Neodiprion lecontei: one gene and its partner. The protein of the gene in region 1 interacts with the protein of each later gene in a biochemical or structural test. Links are inferred from orthologs where the notes say so. Each region holds a gene or a part of one and is shown on either strand. Other genes may lie near its edges.

Region 1 (7,654 bases):
CTTGTACACGTACGTTGAACTCCATAGTGCTGCCCAGCTTGCGCAGCTTGGACCGATTATCATGACACCATCCCAAGCATCTTGTTGTCTCATGATTGGCCAAAGATTTTTCCACCTCTCTTGATACCATAAACACATCTGGAATAAAGATGAAGAGGTAAGGTAAGTCTGGTATGACGGGAATTTTAAAAGTACTAAAATAAAATTAAGTTAAAAGATTAATGAGATTTTATATTAAAGATGTGATAAAGATCAATATGTAATCTTGAAGTTTAACTTTCATTCTTTCTAGATTAGAGTTAGTTCGTTGGCATGTTTTGATCACCAATCCACACAAGGCCTTGAGTAATTGTGGAAAAGTAAAATTTTTACTTCGTTTTTTTGATATCAAAATGATGGGGTTAAAAATTACAGATGTTCTTAAAAAAACGTTCTACTAATAGGTAAAATCAAGAATGTCACCTCTGTACGATTGAGTCATTTTAAAATAGCTAATACCTAAACTGGTAAAGAATGCGGAATGAATGAAGTACAAAATAAATATGATTATCATTACATAGGTATTTTTATAATTGCACGAATTTTTCAGAAAGGAAAAGATAGTTTACAGTACGTGTTTCAATAGTCAGGAATTATCCTTCAGACAACATTACTGTTTACCAATGTTAGTCAGATCCCTTAATTCGCTATTATCAGCCAACTTGGTGGCAGTCGTATAGTATCCCTTGCGTAAGAAATATTCAACCAGCATCCTGTCCAGTCTTTGTCTTCTCCACTGGTTGACAGCACTTGGCGCTGTATTGGCATGTTCCTTCAAGTGATCCAGTCGTCTTTTGCAGACCATACCAGCCTGTAGCTCTTCTGCGATTGATTCTTGTGCTTTACGCTTGAGCACTTGAAGTCTAGCTACAACACCTCCTAACAGACGAGTTATTTCGCCGCTGGCCACCCCCCCTGATTCTCCCACTAATCCTTTCTCCAATTCGTTTGCCGCTGTCTGGACATGAGAAACTTCACGATCCAAAGTCTTTTGAGCTGATCGAAATTTTTTATTTAATAGCTCGTACGGCACCTAGAACACAATTAATTGTAAATTGGATCAGATATTCACACAGCTTGTATTGTTGATATCGGTTTTCAGTAAGCTTTGTTCAATAATTGGAAACTAAATACAAAATTTAATCAATCTTTGAAAATATTGGAGTGATGTGTGGAATTATAGGAAGTTCTCTCTTGACAATTTTTGACAATAATCGATTGTTTTTCAGTATTACAAGCCAAACCAATTGTTAAATGCAGATTTTTTCATTTTTGTATAAGAATCTGTTGACAAAAACTGTTCATCCATTGTGTCGTCTCCCTGTAATCAGTGCAGGATATTATAATTCGTGAGATTGCATGCGGTACATGATTTGATGGGAATAAAATGATGCTATTTGTGAATTTTTACATTTTGTATGTCTTACATATTTATATCTGAATTTTGACAATATCTCAGCTAGAGGAGAAGGTCAAGCTATGCGTTAATTGAATCATTACTTTGTCATTTAAATAACACAAGCCAGTGAAAATTTTTGTTCTCTAGTTCTCGTTAATCTTGGACAAATTTCTGAGAAACATCTTGAAGGTGTGGACGAAGAAACAACGATAGACAAGCGTGAAATGTTCCAAAAAATCGATCCTTCGGAAAAATGAATAAAAAATCATCTTGGATTAAATAAAAAAGGTATGCTCAGTACCACAGAGATTCCGGAATTTTTTTATTAACATCATTCGAAGTACGTCTAATATTTTTCATGCTTGAAGTTCTAATGTAGGATGCAGAAAATAGTTGTTATTCTAAGTGTGTTTTAACGATGAAAATGATAATGTGTCGAAGTTTTATATAAAAATGGGATAAGCTGAGTGTAAAGCGAAAAATAATTATAATTGGTGTTATTTCTAAATGTCTTATAATTCAGCTATTTCAAAATAGTATTATTAATAATAAATGGTCTGCAATCTGTGGACTTGATATTTTACATCAAAATAAGAATATACGAGGCGCGTAAAATATCTTGACAATACAGAACAAGTACGAATTGTAATCGGCTGTAGTAATCCAAGGTCAAGCAGGGAATAAATTGTTTCAGTTATAAATAGGAGAAAAAAAAAAAAAAATCAGATCTGCCATGTGTACCTCGACAATAGCGTTATCATCAACTGTGAATACATTATTCAGACAGGGTAGAAATGGCATTGAGTAAGTGAATACAAATAGTATTCTTCATGTTTTTGATACACCATAAATTGAAAGTAGTATTTACTTGTCAAGAAATGACAAAAAGAAAGAAAGAAAAACTACCGTAAGACTGACCATCACAAACTACAAACGAGTGATTTACACAAAAAACAATGCAAAGATGAAGTCTGCCTTTGGGCGAGAAAAAAAATTCTTACGCGGGTGTGTATGACAGTTATTCAAAGAATTATTCGTCAATCTTATCATACTTTCATAAAAAACGATAACAATATTGGGAAGTTCAGATAACGGCTGTAAAAGGAAACCTTTTTTGTTTGCCTGAATATTATAAGTGTCTGAAAGAAGAAAATTTTCCCATCGTGTAGCCGAGTTTGATGAATTCGAAGAGGATTCAGGTTCAGCCATCATAATAAATTCTGACGTTTCGAAGTGACGAAACATGCTTATTTACCTTCAAAGTTGGGTGCTCCAAGCTCTTAACGTCCGACATGTTCAATTCTCTTCGAATTAAATCGCTCCAATTTGATTCAAATTATTCTCTGATGTCGTGTAGTGTCAAAGAATTGCCAGTGGAACGCCTTGACGGACTACGCATTAGTAGCTGAAATCAAAACCCGTCCATTATCTTCCAGCTGACTGGTGTAAACAGACCTCGGACCATACACTCCAAACAGACTATGCTACGGATTTGCGTTTATACAAGACTTGACTGCAGTTTCGCCTAACTTGGTGCTACACGCGAGTAAATAATGAACTTGCAACATTTGTGTTTCTCGAACAGATGGCGCCATTCGAAAGATTGCCAGTCGACATCTCCACGTTGTACAACTGCTTTGTATCGTCACTTGAAACGTGTTAATTGTTGCCGCTGAATTACCTCTCTTGCTCAGTGATGCAATTACCAATTTGTCAATCTGCGTGATACTAATTATCAATTAAAAACAATACAGTTTTGCGGTCAAGCGAAAGGTATGTACATACCTATACATACTACACGTAGAAAGAACAAATCCGTACGACACAACTTCCCGATGCATCGAAACGACAGCGCGTTGCTTACGAAGATATAAACGACGAGTGATGAGTGAGCTTTCGACGTGAGCGAGGCTAATCCTGTTTGAAAATACTCTGAAATAAAAATCGCGTGGTTTGCGAAACGTGTCGGAAGGGGTATCGGCGAACATCCATCCATAGCTGGTTTGACGATCGGCGGATATTCGAACGGTGAAAATACATTGGACAACATTTGTAATTCAGTCGTTCGTATTATTTCGGCGATGATCGGAGGCGCGCGCTACTCGCTCGGGGGGGCCGCCATTTTCCTCCAGTGAGGGAGAGAGTCGCTCGGCCGTGCTTCGCAAGCGTTCTCTGTTAATTATTACTTATTTCGGTTGACAATTGAGTGACTTTCGCGAGTGCGGGGTGTCGGGTGGGCGCGCGGGACCCTTGGGCCCAAATTGTGCAACCAAAAGCCCAAAGTAACAAGAAAAACTCGGGTTAAACCGGGACCAAACACCGAAACGCCAAGTGCGCCCGACTAACATTGTGTGCCGTGATTCGAAGGGTGATTCTCCAACGGCGAAATATTACACCGTCACTCATCTCGGCGAATGATTGATTCGTTAGAAAGAGGTACGTAGACAAATCCCTACATAATTCCGGTGCATAATCAGCGATAGTTTTACCGGGTTCCTGGCTAGGATGCCTACGCTCTGCCATCCATGCGTCTTTCTTCGCAGGCAAACGCAATAAGCATCGGGCAAGCAGGCGGGTAGATAGATGCACAGATAGGTGGCCTAGCTATAGCCGAAGAATATCCGAAGCGCGCGTGTCTGCGCTCCAATTCATTCGTGGGTGTTACGTGTTCGTGAAAAGATGCGTGGTTTACGTCGCTGATATGGCGGGAGTAGAGACGCTTCGGCAGCCACGCGCATTTATTTCATTCCTCCCCCTTAATACGCGCACTTGTCGGCTATTCGACCGACGGCCGCGGCGTTCTACCATCGCCTAACCGCCAGCTATCGCCATTACGTTACACTTGTCGCTTTCCTTCTTCGCCAAACTTTTACCTTTTACATTTATTTCTTATCTACCCCCTCCTTCCGTTCTCCCTTACCACTCCTCCCCTCTCGTTTCTCTCTCTCTCTCCCGCTCTCTCTCTATCTTTGCTTCTGTTACACCGTAGTTTACTCGTTAAACACGACTTCACTGGCTTCTTTAATATCGGGCCAATCGACGTCTTTAATTCGCGTTACCATGGAAGAAGAAATTGTGGCAACTTTCTCAACAATGACGATCAGACTATTTCGGCCATAACTTTTCATCATTTGTTCTATTCTTTAATTCCTTAATTTCTAGTTGTGTTAATTTCGGACAACAAAAACGAGTCTGTTGAAACTTGAATTTCAAACTTGAGTTCGGAACGCATGTATGATACCAACACCACGTGCCTCCTTCATTGTTACACTATACCGTTAATTGTACGACTGAGTAGAGAACACTTTTACCGAAGAAATGATTCATTTATAATTCATTAAACGTACGTACGTTCGTTCGTCGCGTCCGATCATTTTCGCACTGTGCGAAATAATACTTGACATACCTACATTGCTGTCGAGGATCGTTGAGTTTGGTTTTCCGGAGAAAAAAAGTTTTTATACATCTAAAAATATACCACACGGAGCATATGTGTACAATCATTTAAACGCATGGTTCGAGTTGTGTGCGTGATTAAAGTTACGCGTATGTCTACACACATCGTAGTTCATCTCTGATACGAATTTAATCTACCGAACGAATACGTTTACCGAATGTATATAATAAAAATAAATGGTAATCATTTACTACATTTACTCACAAGAGTCGTCGTGTAGGCAAATCTCGTGACGTAAAGTTTTTCTTCTTTTTTACGTTCCGTTAAACGTAGATGAAAAAATTGAACGTTCGATTGGACGAGTGGATGATCGGGAGATTATTGAAATCAGTTATTAAAATGTTATAATAAGTTGAAAAATAACCAACCAATTGCCGTGTGTTTTGTTCCGGTGCACAATTTTTTCGAAATATCAGAACTAGTTTATAATTCTGAGATACGAAGCATATATGTTGATGTTGGATTTCCGTTTAAAATATCACCACATTTCAGTCCCTCGGTCTGGATTTCTTTTATTAATCGCGTTGCTCGTCAACTCGTCTTCTCGGTTCTGCGGCTAATAATTCTTAGATAATTGTAATCAACGTACGGGAGAGAAAATGAATACATACGTATTATCCCGGTATGTTGAGAGACAAGGTATTGTATAATTATATACTTTTGGCGTGTTTTATGAACTCGGAGCAACGCGTTTGTACACGAATGAAAAAAAAATAATTATTATTATCAAATATTGTGATGCCGAGAAACAAAATGAATACACGCATATGTATAACCGTTATTTCTCACATCAGAGGAAAAACTAGATATTTCCGAATTCCTTACATGCATGGTGTGCAAGCATGTTCAGGCTCACAATTTCTTCTTCAGGACTTTGGACTTTCTTAGGTATATTTGCTACTCGCGTTCGTTTATACAATCGTATCCGAAAACTATACATATACGACTGAGAATTGAAAGGCCAAGTTTATTGCTGCTCATATCCAGTCATGACTCGCTCGCTCGTTCTCGTTTTATTCATCGTTGATCGTTACTTCATCAATGTATTAATCTTCCGAATGAAACTTTCTATTGTTCAGAAGTGACCGAAGCTCCGATGATGCGATCGGCGCATATTACGTATGTTACATACATGTATGTATACATATTTATACATTATACTTATGTATACATGCATTACGTAGTTATACACAAATACGCTCATATTGCAATCACCTACAGATATGCGTGCTGCGATTACGAATATTACGTTTTCCTACTGAAATTGACTTTATTTTTTCTGATACACAGACAGTAATTTATTGAATATTGGCCACTAGTGCGACTGAAAATCGATTTTAGCTAAAGTCCGCTCAAAAGCTGCTGTCTTTCATTCATGGAAAATGAACCAATGGAAATTCAACGAACTTCACATGCTCGAGCGTTCTTTTCTATTCTTTTGAGAGTAAAGAAAAGAAATGCTAAATTTTTGCATTAAAGAAAAATTTAATAAATCTTGTCAAAAGTTGAGTTGTCAATATTTAATTTATATCGGATACTTAAAACAAAATGTTGAAAGATTGTTGAAAATAAGCGTAAAAAAAATCTTTAGTCTTGAGTTTGACATTAACTGATTGACCCGAAACTTTGAATTTTTTTTCACATTGTACGGTGACAACAAGTGCAGTGTAATTGACTTTCGGATTAGTTCGGATTAGCGCCAAAAAATAATTCATCTGCAAACAACAGAATTGAAGTTAGTAATTTTAAGATAATAAAGCATCGACACAAAACTCGTTAATTTACTATTTCGGAAAGATTTTGAAAACGTTTAGTCTGCACAACGTGAGTACGTTTTGCTTTAATTGTGGATTACTGAATTTCAAACGATTCTGAAGTTGCGAAGTAACGTTTTTTCTTGAATATGCATCGATATATTAACGTTACGAACTTCAACCTCATTTGCAAACATTCTATGTACACACGTGCAGATGTATGTGATGTTCGTACTGTCGCTGATGAAGTATAATGCGTGCCTCTATATGTATATGGAATACATCTTTATATTATACGTAGTTTGTAGCGATAACTACATGACGAGTATAATATAATAAACGTATTCGTATTACAAGAATATATATACAGGTATACATTATATACGCGTGCTTGCTGCAGCTGTTTTCCCCCTCTTATTTCAACCTGTGACTATTAGATGTGACGTTTTTTGTCCGGTAATCTATCTCACGGTTCAACATTACACATACCTCGTGTTTCATTAATTTTATGAACTTTCATTAGTCAAAACGAAAGCTCCATCACAAGGAGTCCTATAATCAGCCAAAGTTTGAAGATATTTCATTCGTACTGAGAAAGAGTAAGTATTGCAAAAAAAAAACGATTTGTCTCATTTGACAGAGGTTTGACATCCCCTTGAGCCGATTAGATTATTCGATCTATCATATTTTCATACATTATTATACATATATTGCGAGTCGACTGTTCGCAATATCAATGCTAATCCAAATATAGAGATTTGCAATTTTTCGTTATGTAATGACGTTGAGCTGTGGCTTAGCGGATAATAAAATATGCATGAAAGAAGCGGCGGCACGTTCTATGGTTAATAAAAGAAGTTTACCCGGTATCCTAAACGCCACGTAACTTTCGATTGCAAGTGTAAAGCCTGCCTCGAGGAGGGAAATAGTCAACTCGAGCGCAAATAGTCAACTTTGAATTGTTGTTCTTGCGTCACGGTTTGCGGTCTCTGTGCTGAGTCAACT
Region 2 (8,616 bases), on another chromosome or scaffold:
TGCGATGAGCTGTAGCTCGACCACCAGCTGGGACGTGGGTATGTAATGCACGGATTGCCGTGCATAACGCTGGCATTAGCTTGGCACCGTGCAACGAGCCCTCGAGGTATGCCCGTGGCTAATGAGTCCTTCAGGACCCGCAGTCGGACTGGAGACAAACGGCACGCCGATCAGTTTCACTTTATATTTAGTAATTCAACACTGTACCTACATTTCTCAAGTATTTTCTTCCACATCTACGCGTAAGAACTTGTTCTGCGATTAATGTTATCACTTTTTTTTAGCAAGAAAGTTATTCGAAGACACAACGAACTTTATACCACGTTTACCTAATTGTAGAGCAGGATTAATTCCGTGGATCGGTTAGAGCTCGTTGGTATATAAGTGTAAACCCGAGACGATATTACGTAGAAAAATATATTGCAGTAGCTGATTATCGATCGAAATGAACGAGCGATGTTTGCTCAAATATCGAGCATCGGTAATTTCATGCCCGCGCTGATTATTCCCATCATTAATTTCACAGATACCACACCCAGTGGAAATATTTAATGCTTCCTACGCGGAGGTACTTGAATGGTTTCCAATTTTTCCACTTGCGATATAAGGCGAGAGAGATTAACAAAATTATCAGTTTGTAATAGAAGGTGCATAATAAGCTACTCATCTTTTAGTGTTCCATAAAAATCTGACGTTGTTCCAGGATGTATACACAGATTTGGAATTTATTGAATTCACCAAACATGGTGATCAAATTCTTCCGGTTCAGAGAAATGTTATATGATTCAATAAAAAAGGGGTTAGACAATAATTTGTACTGCCAAGTAAAACCGAATTCATTTGAAATAATGAAACACTTCTTTCGCCGTATCTGATATATTTGGTATATATTTGGTAAATTCCTTATTTATGTATGTATGAAACTGTGGAAAGGAATAAGTAGTTGATTATCTATAGACTCTATACTTCCTTGATACCCCTTTATTTTCAAGGATAAAAATAATTATGGTATATGTATATGTATTTATAACTCGCCTTCGGCTTATCTGCGACAGTATATAAACATATGTGTAACACGCATCCGTCAGAATTCTTAGCTGAACCGCATGCATGTGCTACATATGTATATATGTATATAACACGAGTTTCTGATAAATTGAGTTGAAGCGACGTTTTGAGTCATACATGCAAGTTAAATCTGTCGCATGTCAAGTTTATATAAAAGATCGAACGATAACTCAAAGTAGCGGATAGACGGCCTTCGCCCATTCTGTTGCCCATATATAGGCCTAATTCAATTACCTTCTCAACAATAATTGCCGTCGTCCTCGAGGCGAAGTGCGCCAGAGACACCCGACGACATTATCTGGGCCTGCGTGAAGGCAAGGACAAATTGGAAACCTTCGATGCAAAACAGAGCGATTCGATTAATTTTCCGATGCCGATATTCCTTCAAGATTAATTGCCGGCAACTTATCGTCGCGCGCGTCTAGACGTGCCGCAGACTCGCGATAACAGCGACGATTCACGCTGATATCGCTGTACCCTCACGTGCCGATTATCATCCGCAACGGAGAACAAAGAATTAAAAAATAATATGATAGCCTAAATTCAAGTGTTCATGTATTATCGTTCCCTGCGTCCAGTCGACGTACTCCCGAAACTAACAGGTTGAACGGCGCACCTTTCGCCGGGGTAAAAGTTCGGCCCAATCCCGCCAGGCGGAGGCATCATCCTGCATCATCCAGGCTCAGGATCAGGCCGCCGTCGCGCCGGTCTGCTCATCTACTCCTAATATACGCGAGAGTTCGAGGCTCGATTACGACGAATGACGCGAAGGATAGGCCAGAGTGGCGTATCGGCGATGAGACAAGCGCACGAGACGTAGATTACTCTCGGCTAAAGGAACAACATTGCGCGCGTGTCGAACTCTGGCTGCACGATGCGACCGCGAAGCTGAACAAATCAGCCTAGCTTGACTCGGGTGTGTATAGTACACGACCACAACGTCCACGGATGCGATAATCGTGAGGTAACCCGGACGTCGAATATCGATGCGACGATTAATCTGACGCGAAAAAAGAAACTCCAGGGACCCGGTACAATCAGAATCGCGATAGCGGACGAGAGACCCGCTCGTTCATTCCTCGTTAGACGGATCGACCCGACAGCCCCGCAGGCGATGCGTCGATTGCCGTCGATGATCGCATGAGACGATCGTACAGGTACGACCGGCTAATGACGGAGAATTTATCGCCAGCGTAGGTACGATGACTCTTACGATACCCCGTTTCAGCTGAATTTAATCACGAAGCCAAACCCAGCCCGTTACAATCTCGGTAAAGAGAGTATAACACCTGTAAGGGCGAACCTTGATCGTAGAAGGGTTAAAAAGTCTGTAAGAGATAAAAGTCGAAGTCCTTCAACGGAACGCAAAGACCCACCGATATCAAATATCGCGACCACGTAGCCCGAGCGCCAGAGGTCGAATGATCGTTTCGCCCCACCACAGACCAACTAAGCGGCACGCTCGACGCGAGTCGCGCTCGGTGAGTGGAGGGGGCGGCGTCTCGGCCAATGGGGATCGCGGCTGGCGTGCGACGGATCGAATAGGAGCTCGCCGATTGGCCGGTGATGTTTCGCGTCTCTGTCGCTCGCCCGTCTCTCGAGCTCTCCGTCGGCGCGTAGCCTCCCCCCTCCACTTTCCCAAGCTCGCTATACTTGCTCCTCTCACTCTCCAGCCTCCCCTCGACGCGTGCGTTTATCGCCGTCCCACTCGCGCCTCGGATGCACCGCGTTATCTATTTCGCTCCGGGGGTCGCGAGCCGCTTCCCGGCGCGACTCGCCCTCCTCCGACCCCTCGCCCACGTGCACGAGACTATGACGAGAACGATGCAAGAAACTCCGCACGACTGACACACTCAGAAGGAGAGATCAGCCAGCCTTGTTGCGTGCAATCCGGTCCGTATAAACGCCGAGTAGTTTGAGCGGTGCCATGACGAACCGACGAAATTGTAAACCTTGACTTAGGCTGCTGGTACGATTCCGCGACGTTTTTACCAACACACCGGATATCGCGATAACCCCGCTCGTATTACTTATCGCGTCAGTGAATCACATCCCGAGTGCAAAGAACTCCGATCAACCGCAAAGAAAGCAGGATTTCCTAATTCTCATATTCTCGCGTAACCGAGTGCTCTGCACGCGACTATTAATAACGCGGCTAAAGTACGGCGTAGTTGGACGATTCACGATGTCATGACTAGCAATTACACTTGGCGGAAAAACCGCTTCATAAACTCAGACTCACGATTATTCCGCAAAAGACATTTCTCGGGGATGCCTCGAGCTTGCTACATTATTCCGCGTGTCGCGATCCCACGCGATTGTCGATCTACTCGCACTTGCGGAATATTCCAAACACCGGGGAAACGAAACACGACCTACAGATAAGCCGCAGACTGCCGGGAGTGCAGGTATAGTAGAATGTGTAGTAGGTAAATGTGTAGATATGTGCGGATCTCAAGGCAACCGCAAAGCTCGACGGCCAGACGCGTCAGGACGAGTCGCTTCGAGCAGGCCGGAGGTGGGGGTCGAGAAGCGTGCAGCCGCGCGGCGCCGTCGGCCAAAAGTGGCTGCGGAGGGGCAGGGCGGGGGGGGGGGGGCCCGTTTCCCCCTCCCAGCGGTCGAGGACGGTCGGCTCGTTCGAGGAGTCGGAGTCTAGAGCCAGAAAACGTCGGACTGCAGCGAGTACGCGAGTCAGTCGAGCTCCGATGCGCTCAGCGACAGGTCGAGCCTAGGAGCGATCTAGCGATCTGGCAATTGGCCGCGGATGATTGAAGCTTCGACTTCGATTGCAATTTACGATAAAGAATTCCAAACTTTTTCATTTTACGAAATTGACCACCGATCGGATTACGGGACGAGTGTGGACGTTAACGAAAAAGAAAAGAACGTGGTTTTTAAGAATTTTTGGTTTTTTAATCAACAAAGTGATTCGTTCGCCGTCATCAATCGCCGTCGAAGAAGCTTTGGATTATTTTTACTACCTACCTGTGAAGTGTGAAATAATATATTAAATAAAAACGAAAAAACATTGTTTTTCAAAATAGTGGAGAGGATAGTTAAACTTGATTAAAACGAGATTGTATACGCCCGGTTTCGTCTCTCTGAGGTGAGATTATAACGTTTAAATCATGGTGACCGGAGTTGGTGCTACGATGCCAACCGGAGGTGTCACGGTGGGCTCTGCGCCACAGACCCAACACGTGCCTCAGGAGGCAGGACAACCTCCTGCTCAGACTGCGACTTCAACCACCAGACGATCCGGGGAAAATCGACGGGTTAGTGTCTCTTCTATATGTTCTCGAGATAATGGGAAACAAAAAGAAATCTTAAGAAATCTAGCGAAACATAAGGAATAAATTCGATAAAATCTTGAGCACGTTTCGGAGCTGTTGGATAGCTAGTTCGAAAAGAACACCCTAAAATCCCGACAAGGTTCTTGAAACGTTCCGATCGAGTCGTATAACCGGTTGGCTGGTCAAGAAATTGGAAAGATGGCAAGAATGGTCCGACTTTTTGCCTTTCGATGTGAAAAATTGTTCTCGTTTTTATCAGCGTTGTTTCTTCTTTTTTTCTTTCTGATCGAAATTTCAATCACTCAAAAGTTGCGAGATCCACTCCGCGTCTTTTCGGAGCGAATTATTCAAGGGTGTTCAGTTGGGTGCGGGTTAACGGAACACATTTGGATTTTCATTCTTATTTCGATTTTACGGAGACACCTGCAGCTTCTGATTTCTAAGAGTCATTGAACCGACGGACACTTGTCGTCTTTGAGGCGAAAATGTCTAGCGCTCGATTCGATTGTAGGCAGGCTGTTAAAGGCGACGCGTCCAAGTGCCTAGAGAAAGTAGAACGTCGCCGTCGGCCGGCTTTAATACCGCGAATAATCCCACCGGCCGGTTTCTTCTTTTCCACTGCTTTCCGGGTTGAAATTTCCTGTGCCTATTTTCGTTTTATTTATTTATTTATTTTTTTATTCTTGTAAGCACGCTTTAAATTCGTGACCCTGAAATTAACCGACGATGATGTTTTTTTTTAATTACAGAGCAATAAACCGATAATGGAAAAACGTCGTCGGGCTCGGATTAACAACTGCCTGAATGATCTGAAGACCCTGATACTCGACGCGATGAAAAAAGACGTAAGTATCTATAATTTTCGAATAGCTCAGCAGGTGAAACAGGCGTGAGGATTAGTCCTGTTCTCATTCTGTTTCTTCCGTATCCTTTCCTCTGCAGCGACAAGACTGCATTCGACTAACCACCGTGTTTCTCCAATTTCTGATTACAGCCAGCGAGACACTCGAAGCTGGAAAAAGCTGACATCCTCGAGATGACGGTAAAGCACCTGGAGACGTTGCAGCGTCAGCAAGTAGCTCTTGCGGCGGCGACAGACCCGAACGTGCTGAACAAGTTCCGTGCCGGATTCACAGAATGCGCAGGAGAAGTCGGCCGGTTCCCAGGCCTCGAGGCGTCGGTGAAGCGACGTCTGATGGCGCACTTGGCCTCGTGCCTGGGCCCCGTCGACTCGACGACGACGTCGAACGGCCAGAGCGGACAGCAGCCGGTGCAGCCGGCGGCGCCGGCGACCCAACTCCAGGTCCACATCCTGCCGCAGGTCGACGCAACACCCAGGATCCAGGTCCAGCAGTCGAACGGCATCTTCTTCACGAACGCCAACGGGACGGGACTCCAGTTGGTACCGACGCGCCTTCCCAACGGCGACATCGCCCTCGTTCTGCCCGCTGGCGCCAAGGCGACACCCGTCGCGTCACCGTCGGCATCGCCGGCCCCCGCGTCGCCTTTACCCACCCTGATACCGATCCCCCAGAGGACGGCCTCAACCGCGTCGGCATCCTCGTCCTCTTCCTCGACGAGCTCGACCTCCACCTCGGCCGGCAGTCCCGTTGCCTTTGAGGCGCCCCCGCCCACATTCAGGGAGCAGAATTCACCCTTCACCACCACCGCAAGCCACAGAGACGTCGCCACTTCACCGGCGAACGGATACACCAGCGACCCTGAGTTCGATCCCCGGGTCTACAGTGCGCCGCTGCAGAAACCTCTCGCTCTCGTTATGAGGAAGAGCGTCGTTCCTGAGGTCGAGGACAAACCCTGGAGACCTTGGTAAGGAGGAGATTTATCGAGGATTTACCTTAACGCGCCTGTGCGAATCGAGAGATGAGAGAATATCGATGACTTGGGCTTCCCCGACAAAGACTAATTGATCTTCGTTTTTATTTTGACTTTGATTGGTTGTTATTTTTTTTTTTTTTATGATTTTCATTCATTTTCTTATTTCCAACGAGAATGATGTAACGACTTAGAGCTTAGGGATGTAGAGAGTGAGTGTCTCCGCGATGTCGGCCAGTATAATAATTAACCTGTTGGGCAGTGCCTTGAACAGTGCCTTTGTTGTAGATCGTGTATCTAGAGTTGTTTTGTATATATAGAGATATTTGCCACTTGTGGACTTTAACCGAGACTAATTGACGATGGATAAGAGTAAGAAGAAATGAAAATATAAATGTGTAATGGTTTGGTTTTTTTTCTACTAACGGTTCGGAAACCTATTTGATTGAAATTCATTTGAACCTTGACGATCCGACAGTTTAGAAATGTAAATATAGTAAACTGTAAAGTGTAGGTATAACGTACGTTATTGTACCCCCGTCACCCTCTACGATTATTAAACTATATAAGTGCCTTACGCAACAAGAATCACTCAAGTCTTCCATTAATAATAATTAATACCTTATATGTTTCTTGTGTACGTAAATCGCGCTGCAGAGAAAAAAAACGTTTAAACAGAATAAAAATAAAATGTGTAATAACGTTGTGTAAATTATAATAGATGTATAAGAATTTTGTAATTAATTTGTTATGATTATCCGATTAGACGGTTTAGTGATGTAAGAAATTGCGAGATACGACGAGAAAAAGTTGACGAAAGAATATGTAGAGGAGAGGAGATATAGGTAGATAAGAAAGAGAAAGAGAGACAGAGAGAGAGAAAGAAAGGACGTATGTAAGAATGTTTTATTTATATTTATGAGTGTAAAAGATTGAGTTTATTATTCCTGTCTATTATGACGATAGAAAAGCACGCTTATTACAACAAGAGTGTCAAATAAATTGATCTCTTTATTAAAACCTTTAATTTGACTCGTCAGTTCAACCCCATCCGCCGCACACCTCCTTTCCCTTTGTACTTTATACTCCGACTCTGACGTCTTCATATCGTTTCACGAAGCCGATTCAGGCTCTTCTACTTGAAAATTCCAAAAAAAAAAAAAAAAAACCACGACGTTTCTGTAGTATTAGAATTCGTCAAACTATCCGAAAAATATATTTACAAAAAATGATCGGTCTGCAAAGTGCCATTAAAAATTGTTCGCTTCTTGAACAAGAAATCAGCTTCCTTCGGTCCGGTTCGCCGCTCGCATCTCACACACGTTGCACGTCTGGAGAGCGACTAACCGCGAGTTAAGTCAAGGACCCATCTTCTCCCACTCCTCGGCGTCCGGCTCTCGGTGAGCACGGTGCGCGCCTTTCGAGCACCAAAAAAAGTCCAGCGTGCGTCCTGCCGCCGAAACCCTTTGCAAGGACTTGCTGCCGCCTGGCGGGATGACGCGAAACCCTTCAGAGCCCGGATGTCTCGCCGAGGGTCCTGGCATTCTTTTTCGTCGACGATCGCTCGGGCGAAAGGGTGTGTATGGCCTACGGGAAACAGGGGAGACAAAAGTTACTTTGACCAGTATATCACAACAGGGAGTAACGAATTTCTTTTTGAGTTTTCCAAGCCGAGATATCGGGACGAACTCAATTATCCTGTTTTCGACAGCTGCCAATTTATCGAAATAGAATCATCGGCTCAAAAACACGGGGCAAACGAAGGAGAAAACATTTAGAATCGAGATGATATTTTTTTATAATTCGCATACTGTTTTTGCAGGTAACATTTTCACGGCAAGTAAGAGAGAACAAATTAAGAAAAAATACCAAGGGGTTGTATAATTTCGCGTGCCCCACGATGGAGCGAGAAAAACGGGAAAGAGAGACAGAAAAACTAAGGAGAGAATTGTGATTTTCGGTAAATTTGTTGCAATTTTTTGTCACGCGAAGAAAAGTGAAAGTTGAAGTTAGAACTAAGGAGAAATGTAATTGTAAATACTCAACTAACTTTAGAAAAAAACGAGCTCAAGAGGTACTGATCTGTACCAATTTTTTGTTTTTTAGACAATTGCCGAAACTTATAGACTAAACCTTGCTAGCTAGAATTTTGGTTCAGTGCCAATTATAAGGCTGCAGCAATCCAAACCAGCAAGGAACTTTTCGGTCACCTTAAAAAATTTATTGCGATTTCGAAAATTTTCCATCACAACTTTTCCGACTGTTTTTGAATAATCGTTTTAGTTTATCCGCAGACTGGTATGCAGGCGCATTGTCAACTGTCCGCTCCTCTTTTTTCGGAGAATGGGAAGTGCGTGTGTTCGTCGTTTATTTACGTATCCCATAGAACCGTGGGCCATTGGGCCACCTCCGGCTGAACTTG

The links.
Region 2: the proteins of C-terminal-binding protein (region 1) and protein hairy form a complex in vitro, tested with the Drosophila melanogaster proteins (2 studies listed by BioGRID). The link is inferred for Neodiprion lecontei from reciprocal best matches to the Drosophila melanogaster genes CtBP and hry.

What each region holds. Positions count from the first base shown.
Region 1 is NC_060260.1:13,755,189-13,762,842, reverse strand, and holds the start of C-terminal-binding protein, read left to right. Parts: upstream 1-3,503; 5' UTR 3,504-3,874; intron 3,875-7,654. Other genes in the region: E3 ubiquitin-protein transferase MAEA, read right to left, coding at 1-138, 661-1,072, 2,694-2,732. UniProt on the Drosophila melanogaster protein: Corepressor targeting diverse transcription regulators. Hairy-interacting protein required for embryonic segmentation and hairy-mediated transcriptional repression.
Region 2 is NC_060261.1:36,899,565-36,908,180, forward strand, and holds protein hairy, read left to right. Parts: upstream 1-3,680; 5' UTR 3,681-4,196; coding exon 4,197-4,343; intron 4,344-5,110; coding exon 5,111-5,206; intron 5,207-5,355; coding exon 5,356-6,192; 3' UTR 6,193-7,221; downstream 7,222-8,616. UniProt on the Drosophila melanogaster protein: Pair-rule protein that regulates embryonic segmentation and adult bristle patterning. Transcriptional repressor of genes that require a bHLH protein for their transcription (e.g. ftz).